Drosophila melanogaster: one gene and its partner. The gene in region 2 interacts genetically with the main gene of each other region. Each region holds a gene or a part of one and is shown on either strand. Other genes may lie near its edges.

Region 1 (4,550 bases), on a different chromosome or scaffold from region 2:
AACAACACTGATGATGATAATGATAAAAATAACGATAAAGCGAATTAGAAAACAAGAAAAAGTACGAGTAAATAGCGTAACGCCGAAAAATAAAACTGTACCGAGAGTTTCGAATTTAACATAGCCACATTTAGACATTCTGGGCCTAGAGATCCGCTATCCTATTATACAGATATGTTTAACCATTCGTCGATCCTCCGCGAAGTAATCCCCCTTCCTTTCCAGACCCTTTTTTTCGATATCCATTTAACTAGTTGTTGTATTTAAAATTTGATCGTTTTTGAAACGAGATATCCCTTCACCGCCTTGACCTGCCACGCCCCTTTTGCGCCCCAAAAAAAAAAAACTGAAGATTCACAATGAGTTTTGACTTAAAAATGTAATTCCACGCAAAATTCATGAAAAGAACGAAAACTAAATACTGCATAAAAATAATAATAATTCATAGTGATAATTGTCTGTGCATCCTTCGGCATGGACTCTACTATATATACACTGATATATATATATAGAAAGAGCAAGAGAAAGAAAAAGAGAGAGAAAGCATTCAACACACACACACACTACACACATGCATACGTACATAGTTAAAAGGGAAGTAAAACAAGAAACAACAACATTGCAAGCAACATAATAACTATACGATTATTATAATTTATATTATTCCCAAATTAAAGATAACAGCCAAACAAATCAGCAGTTTTTCCACTGTGGGCGGTGGTTTTCTCAGGGGGCGTGCAGCTCCCCCCTGAGTCATGTGCAAAAAATCGTGCCAGGGCGGCAACCTCACCCAAAAAACGTCGATCAAGGGCTGGGGAGATGATTCACACGCTGGGAATGCCACCGAAACCAAAAGAGATTTCAAATCACGTTTCAAGGTGTGCCTAAATGAGTAAATGAGTCCATTCCAGGACTCAGCCTGCTGTAGGAATCCCATGAAGGAGTTTTCAAATGTGTGCAGGCTTCTACTTTAATCGTTGTCGACTAGGTTTTATTACAATTATCTTAATAAATGAATTCGAGAGTTCTTAGGCTAGCTACATATGTATATATTAAGGATGGCTACATCTATCGTCGCTTCTTCTTCTCCAGCTTACGAATCTTGTGCAGGCGCGTCCGGACCGGCTCGCCCTCCCGCTCCGTCACTTCGCCGGACTCCGGATTACTTTGGCCATCCGGGTTATTCTCCATCAATACTGCGGCCGAAATGCAAACGAACTGGAAGAGAGCACCCACATAAAGCCCGTATCGGATTAGCAAGCTGAAGATGTCCTCGTCGCCGTACTTGTCCAGGGCTGCGGCGGCGCCCAGACTGTCCGCGGAAGCCGACATCGCTGCGCTGGTATTGTTTATAAACAAAACCCGCGAGGATTAGACAAAAAAAAATAACAACTACAAAAAGTTTGTTTTTTGTATTGGGTAGAGATGGTACCCTGAACCAACAGTTCAGGTGGAAACTATCGATAACTTTTTTAGGTCAAAGTTTTAAGGTTGTTAGCTCATTAACGGCAAGTATTTAAAGGCTTGCACAAAATCTTCGCTTGATTTTATTTAAATTCAATTACCTGGATTATTAAATACATTTTATAAAGTTTAACACTAGTGAAATAAATATCCCATCCCCAACACATTCTTCAGGGTTACCGTTTAAGGTATGTTCAAAACTTTATGGTATATTCCGGAGCCCTACAAAAGTCTTGGTATTTTTTCACACTGGTCTCATAGTCGCGGCTGATAAGTCGCTAATTTTTGCATAATATTAAGTATAAGTCAAAACAAACGTGCGAATTATGTCATGTATTCGGCTAGCGTCTGCCACCGTTCTGGCAGGGGTCCGTCCCCCGCCGGCAGCAAGCGGAGGTGGAGCCTTGCGCCTGTTGACTAAACGGAATCCGGATGCTGCATTCGCACGCCGCCAGTTTGCTGTAGCGGTTGAAAACGGCGGAGGCAGAAAGAAGCCGAATGGAACTTTCAAGCTCGCAGTTTTGGGGGCCACCGTAGGCGCGGCCACCGGATCGGTGTATACGATGTACCAGCGGTGGACAGACGGCAGCTCGCACAAAGAGCACGAGGAGACGAAGCCGACGCGGCTGGACGGGATTCCGGCTGGAGTGCGGATAACCAAGCGCTATGTCAACCCCAAGGACACGTCCGGTTTGGACATTGTGCTGTTCCAGTTCCAGACGTGTCCCTTCTGTTGCAAGGTGCGCGCTTTCCTCGACTACATGGGCATATCCTATGCGGTGGTCGAAGTGGATGCCGTCCTACGGCAGGACATCCGCTGGTCGTCGGTGAAGAAGGTGCCGATGGTGCTCATCCGACAGCAGGACGGCAAATACGTCCAGATGGTGGACTCAAGTGCCATCATATCCCTTATAGCCACCCACCTGCAGGACAAGCGCACCGACATCGGCGAGCTGGCACAGTTCTATCCGCACACCTCCTTCTTCGACGATGATGGCAAAAAGAAGAACGACATATTGAATAAATACTTCCTCATGTACCGCGAGCATACGCCCAAGGGAGTATCCAAGGAAACGGATGAGTAAGTTAACCAGGGTCAAGTAATCTTTTAATCAAATCTTTTAACCTTGAGTGTCTGTTCTTAGAACCGATCGCAAGTGGAGAAGCTGGGCCGACAGCCACTTGGTGCATCTAATATCGCCCAACTGTTATCAGACCATGGGCGAGTCCCTAGAGACTTTTGAGTGGTTCTCGCAAGCTGGCGAGTGGGACGTTCACTTCCCCAAATGGGAGCGCGACCTGATGGTTTACTGTGGTGCCACCGCCATGTGGGCCATAGCCAAGATGCTGAAGCGCCGTCACGCCCTCAGCGACGACGTCAGGTCGCACATGTACGATGCCCTTGACCAGTGGACCACTGAGCTGAAAAAGAGGAACACGAAATTCATGGGCGGAAAACAGCCAAGTCTGGCTGATCTATCGGTTTTCGGCGTGCTTTCAAGCATGGAGGGGTGTCAGACGTTCAAGGATTGTCTGCAAAACACCAGCATCGGTAAATAAGGTTTCTTTCTCGGGTTTTGTACCTTTTTACGAACTTTTTACATATTTCCGCAGGTAAATGGTTTTATGACGTCAAGGCGTTGGTGGAGAAGAATCGTGGGCAGTTGCAAAGAGAACGTATTGAAAACATGGCCGCTATAGCTTAAAACAAATATTTGCCCTTATTTTATCCAAAGATTGTTGAAAATAACCGAAATGTTCATTAAAATATACATTTTAATCAAATCTAGTTTGCCGTTTCGTTTATGGTATCTGAATGTATATATTTGGTCAAAAACGCGTAAGGAGTGCAAGTTTATGGTACAAATTGGAATTAATTTTAGGTTTTATATTGTTATTTTATTTATATGTTAAATTAAAAATGTTTACTAAATAAATACCTCCTGCTAATAAAAATATCCCAAACCGACGTATGTATACCTATCGATAACGTTTAAGCAGGCTGGATCCGATGCTCAACAACGGTCACATTGATTTTGTGATTTTGGTTAGCCGCTTGCAAACTTGCAAATCATTTCGTTGGTTTTTTACTTGGCGAGTTAATTGGTGAATTTCAGCACAAAACATGAGCAGATTGGGCTTTGAGCAATTCCCGGACTACCAGGTGCCCGGCATGAAGCATCCTGATTTCTCGCCCTACGAGTCCAATGGCGGGTGAGTTGCTATTTCCCAGCGGAATCGAGATGTGGAAGAATGTCTCCATCTAACCGGAGTCTTCCCTGTTTACAGCTCCATTGTGGCCATCGCCGGAGATGACTTTGCCGTAATTGCAGCGGACACCCGCCTGAGCAGCGGCTACAACATTCACTCGCGAACGCAGAGTAAACTCTTTAAACTCTCGCCCCAGACAGTGTTGGGTTCCGCAGGCTGCTGGGCGGACACGCTCTCGTTGACCGGATCGATTAAGGTGCGCATGCAGAGCTACGAGCATACCCATCTGCGCACCATGACCACTGAGGCCGTGGCCCAGATGCTCTCCATCGCCATGTACAATCGCCGCTTCTTCCCGTACTACGTGTCGAACATTCTGGCTGGAATTGACAACGAGGGCAAGGGCGTCGTCTACTCCTACGATCCCATCGGTCACTGCGAGAAGGCTACATACCGCGCCGGCGGCACTGCCGGCACCCTGCTGCAACCGGTGCTGGACAACCAGATTGGTCACAAGAACATGAATTTGGAAGACGCCGACAAGATCAAGTTAACCAAGGAGCGGGCCGTGAGCGTTGCCTCCGACACCTTCATCTCTGCCGCTGAGCGCGACATCTACACCGGCGACTCTGTGCTGATCAACATCATAACCAAAGATGGAATTGAAGTACGAACTCTGACGCTGCGTCAGGACTAGCCTGTGGCGAGGATGTTGCCGTTTCTTTTGGTTAGGGGCATTCGGTGGAAACCAGGCATTCTAAGTTAGTTGGCTTCAAATTTTTGTATTTACCCAAAACAACAAAACATCGTAATAAACCGAATCTTTGAGATTTAAAATATGCGGCCTAGTGTGACCAGCTGGTCCTAGAAATAAA
Region 2 (6,816 bases):
ATTTTTCGGATAACGCTGGCGGAGCTTTCGATGGCTTTTTCCAGCTGTTCCATGCCGTCAGACTCTCAAAAGCGTTCTAACAACCGCCACGAGCAGTCGCGATCTTCGGTTTCGGTTTATGGTGCCCAAATACTTGGATTCGTCTTATCGGTTCTACGTGCGCATCTCACGTAGCAGATAAGTGATTTTCGCACAGCTAAGACATCCTCAGCATAATGACAACTGCCGAATTGCAAGGTTCCTATGGAGGCCTCTACTTTGGCTTCTGCACACTGATCTCGCATGTGCTTCTGGCGGGGATCACCGTAGCCATTGTTTACAAGTGTCTGGTGCTCAAATTGGTGCACACCGCCGGACATGCCTTCTACTGCACAATCGGCGTAAGTATTTTGATTTCGGATATTAAAAGATTTAGAAACATATGTGAAAAAGTGAAAGTTTGAGGCCACGGTTAACAAATAATCTAATGGTTTCAAGGATATATATTTCTCGAGTGAGAGTTTTCTGTACCCGGAAGACCTAAATATAAACTGGTTTACTATCTCCTGAAATTTTTACCCGTCCTAAATCATTGTTCCATCTATCTTCTATTTCATTATAGTTTGTGTTTTTCATGGGCGAAGCATTGCTGGTCCGGAATAGCGCATATTTGGAGTCCTCGTTGGGTCCATTGAACCTCAACCGCCTGCACGCCGTCCTGGGGCTGTTGGCATTCCTGGTCGGAGCCGGCGGAATCGGAATCAAGACATGGCAGAAGCTGGAGCGCAAACGGGAAGACCCCAATGCCACCGTTCGTCACTTTAAGAGCAACCATGCTTTTTACGGTGTGTTCTCGTCGGTTCTTTTCCCAAATATAATGATAATTTATGCCTCCATCTTTCGCCCATCAGGTATAATCGGTTGTGCTCTTCTTCTGGGTAGCGTTCTGAGCGGTCTTCCGCTGTATTTCATCAACAGTGGCTTCGCCTTGAAAATGCTTCATCGATTTTTCGGATTGTCCGGATTCCTCGTTCTGATGGTATCTCAAATGTTCGGATATAACACGGGATTCGGTCGGCGACAGTGGAAGGCACACCACCAGAAGCTCTTCAAATTTTTCACATTTATTGCCACCATTACGACTGCAAATTACGAACTCCGGAGATTTGTGCGAGATGTTGCCGGCTTGGCGACAGACTATTTTATTGGATCAGATGCAGCAGAAGCTAGAGAAGATCTTTGAGGCTCTTTCGACAAGCGAGTAGTGTTCACACTGGAATATCAATACTACAGGAAACGAATCGAATTCCGAAACACAGTATTGTGGATTTGTGTATCACTCAAGAAATAATTCGAGTGCTTTGCGGATTTGAACTCTGAAAAACCAGAATCGATTTATACCATACGTATAAACACATTATCTAAGTGGAGGAGGCTTTTGTTGTCTGTCAATCGTACTCTACTAAACAAAACCATATCAGGTATAAAGCAGGCATTTTAAATCATTTTACTTTGTGCCTTTATTGCAATTTCACACATACATATATATACGATAACATTTTGTTGATTATTTAAAACATAACATATATCTATTTTCACATTTATTTTGGCTACGAGATAAATCTAGCACCACAGAAAAACTAAGCTACGTAGTAAACTGATACGATAAAGTAAAATCCCTTTTTCATTGGGTTCTATAGATATTGAAGATACATTGTAGATATATCGATATTGAATATGAATATTTAGTTGCGGTTCTGCGATACGTTCATTACGTCCAAGGCAGCTGAGATATTGCCCTGAACCGACTCTAGGAGCTGGGTTAGCCAGGCGCCCTCGTTGCTGAAACCCATGGCCATCATGGCATGGATCGATTTATTGATGCTTTCATCTAATTAGGAGACATAATTAATACAAAGCGATTAGTTATTTAATTCGGCACTTACCAGTGTGGTAGACGGGGACCGTGCGCTTGTCGTCGGGAGCTGCTGGGGAGGTGCCGACGCTATTGGTGGTCACCGATGTGGTCGAGGTCGATGTACTCACCGTATCAACTTGAGCAGTCTGGGTGTTGGCCGAAGCCTGCTCCACGCGAGCCTCCTCATTCATGTGCTGACGCAATAGTTCGCCCAGCTGACCAAAATCACGCACCGGCTCCTGAGGAGCAGCAGTGGGATTGGTTGTGTCCAGATTGATCAAGTTACTATTGTTTGCAGAGTATGCATTGTCAATAAGCTGCCACTCTGGATCCAAGCTGTCTGAACGGCGTCTTTCCTGCTCTGTTTCGGTGGTGGTTTCCGATGGCTTAGGATTCAGGGGCTCTGTCTCAAGCTGAGCATCAGGGATCGAACCAGAAATTGATGGAGTGGCCGACTGGTTAGCAGATGGGACATTAGACTGATTAGCCGATGGAGCGGCAGAGGGAACAGCTGACTGGTTGGCCGAGGATGCCCCCGACTGGCCACTGGATTGACCCTGCTCTTCTGGTTTCTTATTCTCAGCACTGGGAGTCGTTGAGGGCGCAAAAATTCCCGAATCACCGCCCTCAGTGGTATCGATAATCTTGGAAAACATTTCGCTGAAGTTATTAAGGATTTCGATGCCAGCACTCATGTACTCGGGTGGCACAATCTGCGAAATGTTATCCAGATTAATCACTGGAGTAGTTGGCTGAGTGGAACGTGGAGTCGTCACTGGATCTTCGGTTCTAGGGACACTTTGATCAGTGTTAACCTTCTTCGGCTCAGTTGGTTTGGCCTCGGATTCAGCTGCCTTTTCAGCGGTAACAGTGGGCTCAGCTTGTGGAGGACTTTCAGTTTGTTCTGCAGCCTTCGGTTTCTGCGGTTCGGCTGGTGCCGTGGCCGTTGTTGTGTTCAGCGGCAAGTTGGTCATCATCTCGACAAACTGAGTCAAGACTCCGGCATGGCGGCGGGCCTGACGCCGTTCACGGCGACTATCCCTTGCGGGTTCGCCAGCAGGATCTGCCTGGTTCGTCTCCTGAAACGGGCAATGTCCCCTGGAGCGCCGGCCACTGCGGCGTCCCAATCCTGGACCTGTGAACCAGGCATCGACCATACCGGGTCCATTGTTGGTCGGCATGCGTAGCATCAAGTGCTCAGGATGCTTGTGAGCCAACTCGCATTTCTGGCAAAGATCATAGTTGCTGCACTGAACGCACTTGTAGCGGAACCCAATCAAGGGAGCCAAGCCGCAGCCATCGCATTCAACGGCGTCGTGGATGGTGAAATTGCTCGGATCGTCGACAGAAGGAGCTTCAGCGTTGGCCGAAGAACCCTCTTGCTTGGTGGCCTTTGGCTCCTCTACGGGCGCCAGTGGAGCCACCTGAACGTGCATATTGCTCTCGCACTTGGCCAGGAAAATCTCATAGTCATTTTGGTTGACTATTTCGATTTCATCTTTATCAGCGTCTGCAAAAGTTAGAATAGGCAAAGGAAAATAAAATCAATTATGAATCAGTGAAGTTTTGTTATCAAAGGTGAATCACTGAGGGCTCTAGTTAGACAAATTAGCTACAGTTGTGGTTGTACCAGCACAACCCGTTTGATCTATGTAAATGTATATGAGTACATGTACACATACTTTACAAATTAAAAAGCGCGTTAGATGTATTTAAAATATATATGTATAATTCGAGAATTCAGAAATATGTAAAATCAAAAATGTTTTGTATGTGTGCCATTTATGAAACAGTGCATCTAATATGTTGACCACGTTTGTACCATAAAAATATATATGTACATATTTATCAGCTAATGTGTCAACACAATTTTGCCAATGATAAGCATTGAGCAGGAATACTATCTAGGTGAATCCCTGCTTTGTTGGGCAAAGTACGCAATAATTTGGGCTGGTTTTTAAGTAACGAGACTTAAAAGCTAAATGGTCAGCACTGCTCGGACGGATGCAGTTATGTATGGAAACGAATGTACTTATACCATGCACATATGTTGCAATCTTTGCGACTCGATTGCAATTGCGAATAACTGTTTGTATGTATAGCAAACATTCACTCTGCGGCATTTTCATTGTAAAACTCACCGATCCAGAAGGTCCTTACGTCGCATTTGGGTAACTGGCGCTCCTGGAAAAGATACAGCTCGATTTCGCGACGCAATATGGTGTAATTCTGGGAGGGCATCCGCAGGTATGCATTTATCTTTTTCTGGGGTCCAGCGCCCTGGTAGGTGATTTTCAACAGCTTCTCCGGCATTTTCGCAACGTATTCTGTAGTTTCGACAGACTTTTGAATATATGTATGTATATATATCGATGCTGACGCTTTTATTCTCGTTTAACTTGTTGCGGCGAATTTATGTGACGGATTCTATTAATTTGGAGCTCTCGACTACTGCGTAGTTTTTGTTCGGCCGTTCGATTGTGTATACAAGTGCAGCTGGGTGAGAGCAGGTATATATACTAGGCGAACTAGTTGCTGGAAGGTTCTTGAATGAGTGAGGCTCAAATTGTTGCAAATCACGGTGCTGCCTGCTGGGCTGCACTAGTTAATCTATCCCCAAAATTGTATTGTAATGCCAAAGCTGGTCTTTGGCAAAGATTAATAATACTTCGGTTATCGATAATGAAAATATTTTTACGCGGCTCTATCGAACTCACCACTTTTAGTATTTTTACATTCACATTTTGCTTTACATAAAATTTCGCCAGAATATCGATATTTTTACCCATTAAAACTTCACACATACATACGTCAGTTTCTTATCGATATCGAAATCAGCAAACCCGAAATATTGAAAACCTAATCTAAAGATGGTTTTGTTTTATGAAACTTGGCAATCTAGGTAATCTAAAATGATGCCTCTGCGTTCGTAATTTTCTTCGGAACTATAAAAATGGGAGGCAATAAAACGGTCAATCTGAACTGGGGTAATTGGAGGTTTTTCAAGATGTTTTGAATTCCGTCGTAATGCATTCCCTAGTAATATTGATAGGTATCAAACTGGAGAAGGTGAAGGGTGATATTTATATCTAAAACATATAAAGGATGGCGTCCTAATCATTCAATCCTTCAAAGGATTGAACTTCCAAATCGCGAGGTTCACGTGAACATTATTTCCGAATATACATATATATCTTGATATCACACGAAATTGCCTTCACGAATCTTTACTGAATGAGACTGGATTTATTCGCGGTCTTAAAAGCTTTGAAAACAATGTCCTCATGGAAATTAATCAATCGATGATGAAAATCAAAACAGAAAAAAAACAGAAATCAATTGTCCGGGATCTAAAGAAAATAGGAATGAAAAGCATATGATTTCGGAGTTCTCAAATCGGACGATCTGCAGATATCCACTATTGGATGCCGAGTCTTGCTTGCAAATTAGCTCCGCTTTCGAGGATTCATCTCCAGACTGAGCTTTCTATTGGATTCCCAGAAAATTTTAATTTTTTTTATAAAGATAGTTGACACACTAAGTTAAAATAAAAAAAAAAAAACATCGTATGTCATGCTTTTCAATATTTATATATTTTGAATGGAAAAGTGATGGATGTTTAAAATACCAAGTACTGTACAGTGATTTTGAACTTTTTAAATATTGTTCAGTGGAACAGCACCAATGGGATCAACGGAAATTTAAATTCGAAGAATGATTTTATTTGCTATGTATTTTCCAAGAACTTAGGACTAATTTCTTGTCATAGTATCTAAAGATATCATTTTAGGCCTTAGAACTTTTGAGCATCTTAAGCAATTGGAGCAGTTGAGTTGGAGATCTGAGCAAAAACCATCTTTTAATTAGTTTCTAAGCAGAATTACATATTAGTGCTGTACTAACCGGCTGGCAGTTTGAGAAGCTACAATTTGATGTTGTCTGCTTTCCAAATTAATCTGGGCTAGCTCAGGAATCTTAGTTACGCCCTCGGTGGAACCAGAGTCTGTGTCGGTCTCAGGATCCCTCTCGTACATCTGAGTTGAATCTGGATCCGGTGTAGATTGGCGCAACAACATTTCACCTGGCGTGGAATTAGTGTTATGTCGGCAATTCGATTCTATTACAGTAGTACTCACTCAAGTAGGACTCTGCCATGGAGTAGAGCAAGCTGGAGCTCATTTGAGGCGCCATTCCGATGACGACCCCATCCACTTTGAACTGATAGTTCTCCCCACCCTTTTGCCGTTGGTCGTATAGAATGTCCTCGCGCTGAAAACCATTCTCGGAATAGTCGTCGTATAAGACGTCCAGCAAGTCGCTGATCACGTTCCTCGAATTCCCTGGCCTAGTCTTGCCGCCAACGGGCTGGGCCAGAATTCTTCCAAGTGCCACAAGCAGCAGGGCGAACACAAACAGCCGGTTGGTGAACTTGCACATGATGTTGCCCAAGCGAAAAGACCGCAGGACCGATGTGCTCCAATGGCGTGCGTTGAATGATTCCAAGTTCTCGGCCGCTGTGAAGGCGAGCCCACCTGGACCACAACTGGAGACTGGAAGACCAAGAAAACCCGATTTATGGACACAGTTCAATGGCCGCCTCCAATCAGCCCAAAGACTTCCGCATTGCCAGGTTGCTGTGGGAATCTTTAGCTCCGCGCATTTCTAATGCTTCCCAGCAGCCACGTTCGAAGTCCGTTCCATTCGAGAGGAACTATCTGCCTTGTGTTCGATCTTCTCCGGCTCCTCATCTAACCCATTGTCGTTCGCAGATATCGCATTGAGTTTCAAGAAGAAACTTCTTTTTTTATTATTGTGATGAGTTATTTTCACTCATCTTGCGCCAATTTAAATTTGTTTAGTAACCCAATCTCTGTAAGCATGATTCCAAAAAAAGTTAACCCAATAACCTCAATTTGCCG

The links. A genetic interaction does not mean that the proteins touch.
Region 1: of ref(2)P (region 2) and Su(P), changing one suppresses a phenotype caused by changing the other (phenotypic suppression), as found in Drosophila melanogaster (one study listed by BioGRID).

The regions. Positions count from the first base shown.
Region 1 is NT_037436.4:16,609,358-16,613,907, reverse strand, and holds Su(P) (suppressor of ref(2)P sterility), read left to right. Parts: upstream 1-1,708; 5' UTR 1,709-1,790; coding exon 1,791-2,545; intron 2,546-2,609; coding exon 2,610-3,016; intron 3,017-3,078; coding exon 3,079-3,170; 3' UTR 3,171-3,246; downstream 3,247-4,550. Other genes in the region: CG4101 (uncharacterized protein), read right to left, coding at 1,069-1,332; Prosbeta6 (proteasome beta6 subunit), read left to right, coding at 3,590-3,678, 3,754-4,372.
Region 2 is NT_033779.5:19,540,211-19,547,026, reverse strand, and holds ref(2)P (refractory to sigma P), read right to left. Parts: upstream 4,560-6,816; 5' UTR 4,211-4,559; coding exon 4,039-4,210; intron 3,408-4,038; coding exon 1,926-3,407; intron 1,871-1,925; coding exon 1,725-1,870; 3' UTR 1,479-1,724; downstream 1-1,478. Other genes in the region: CG10337 (uncharacterized protein), read left to right, coding at 216-380, 602-824, 891-1,222; CG13081 (uncharacterized protein), read right to left, coding at 5,684-5,738, 5,801-5,978, 6,034-6,334.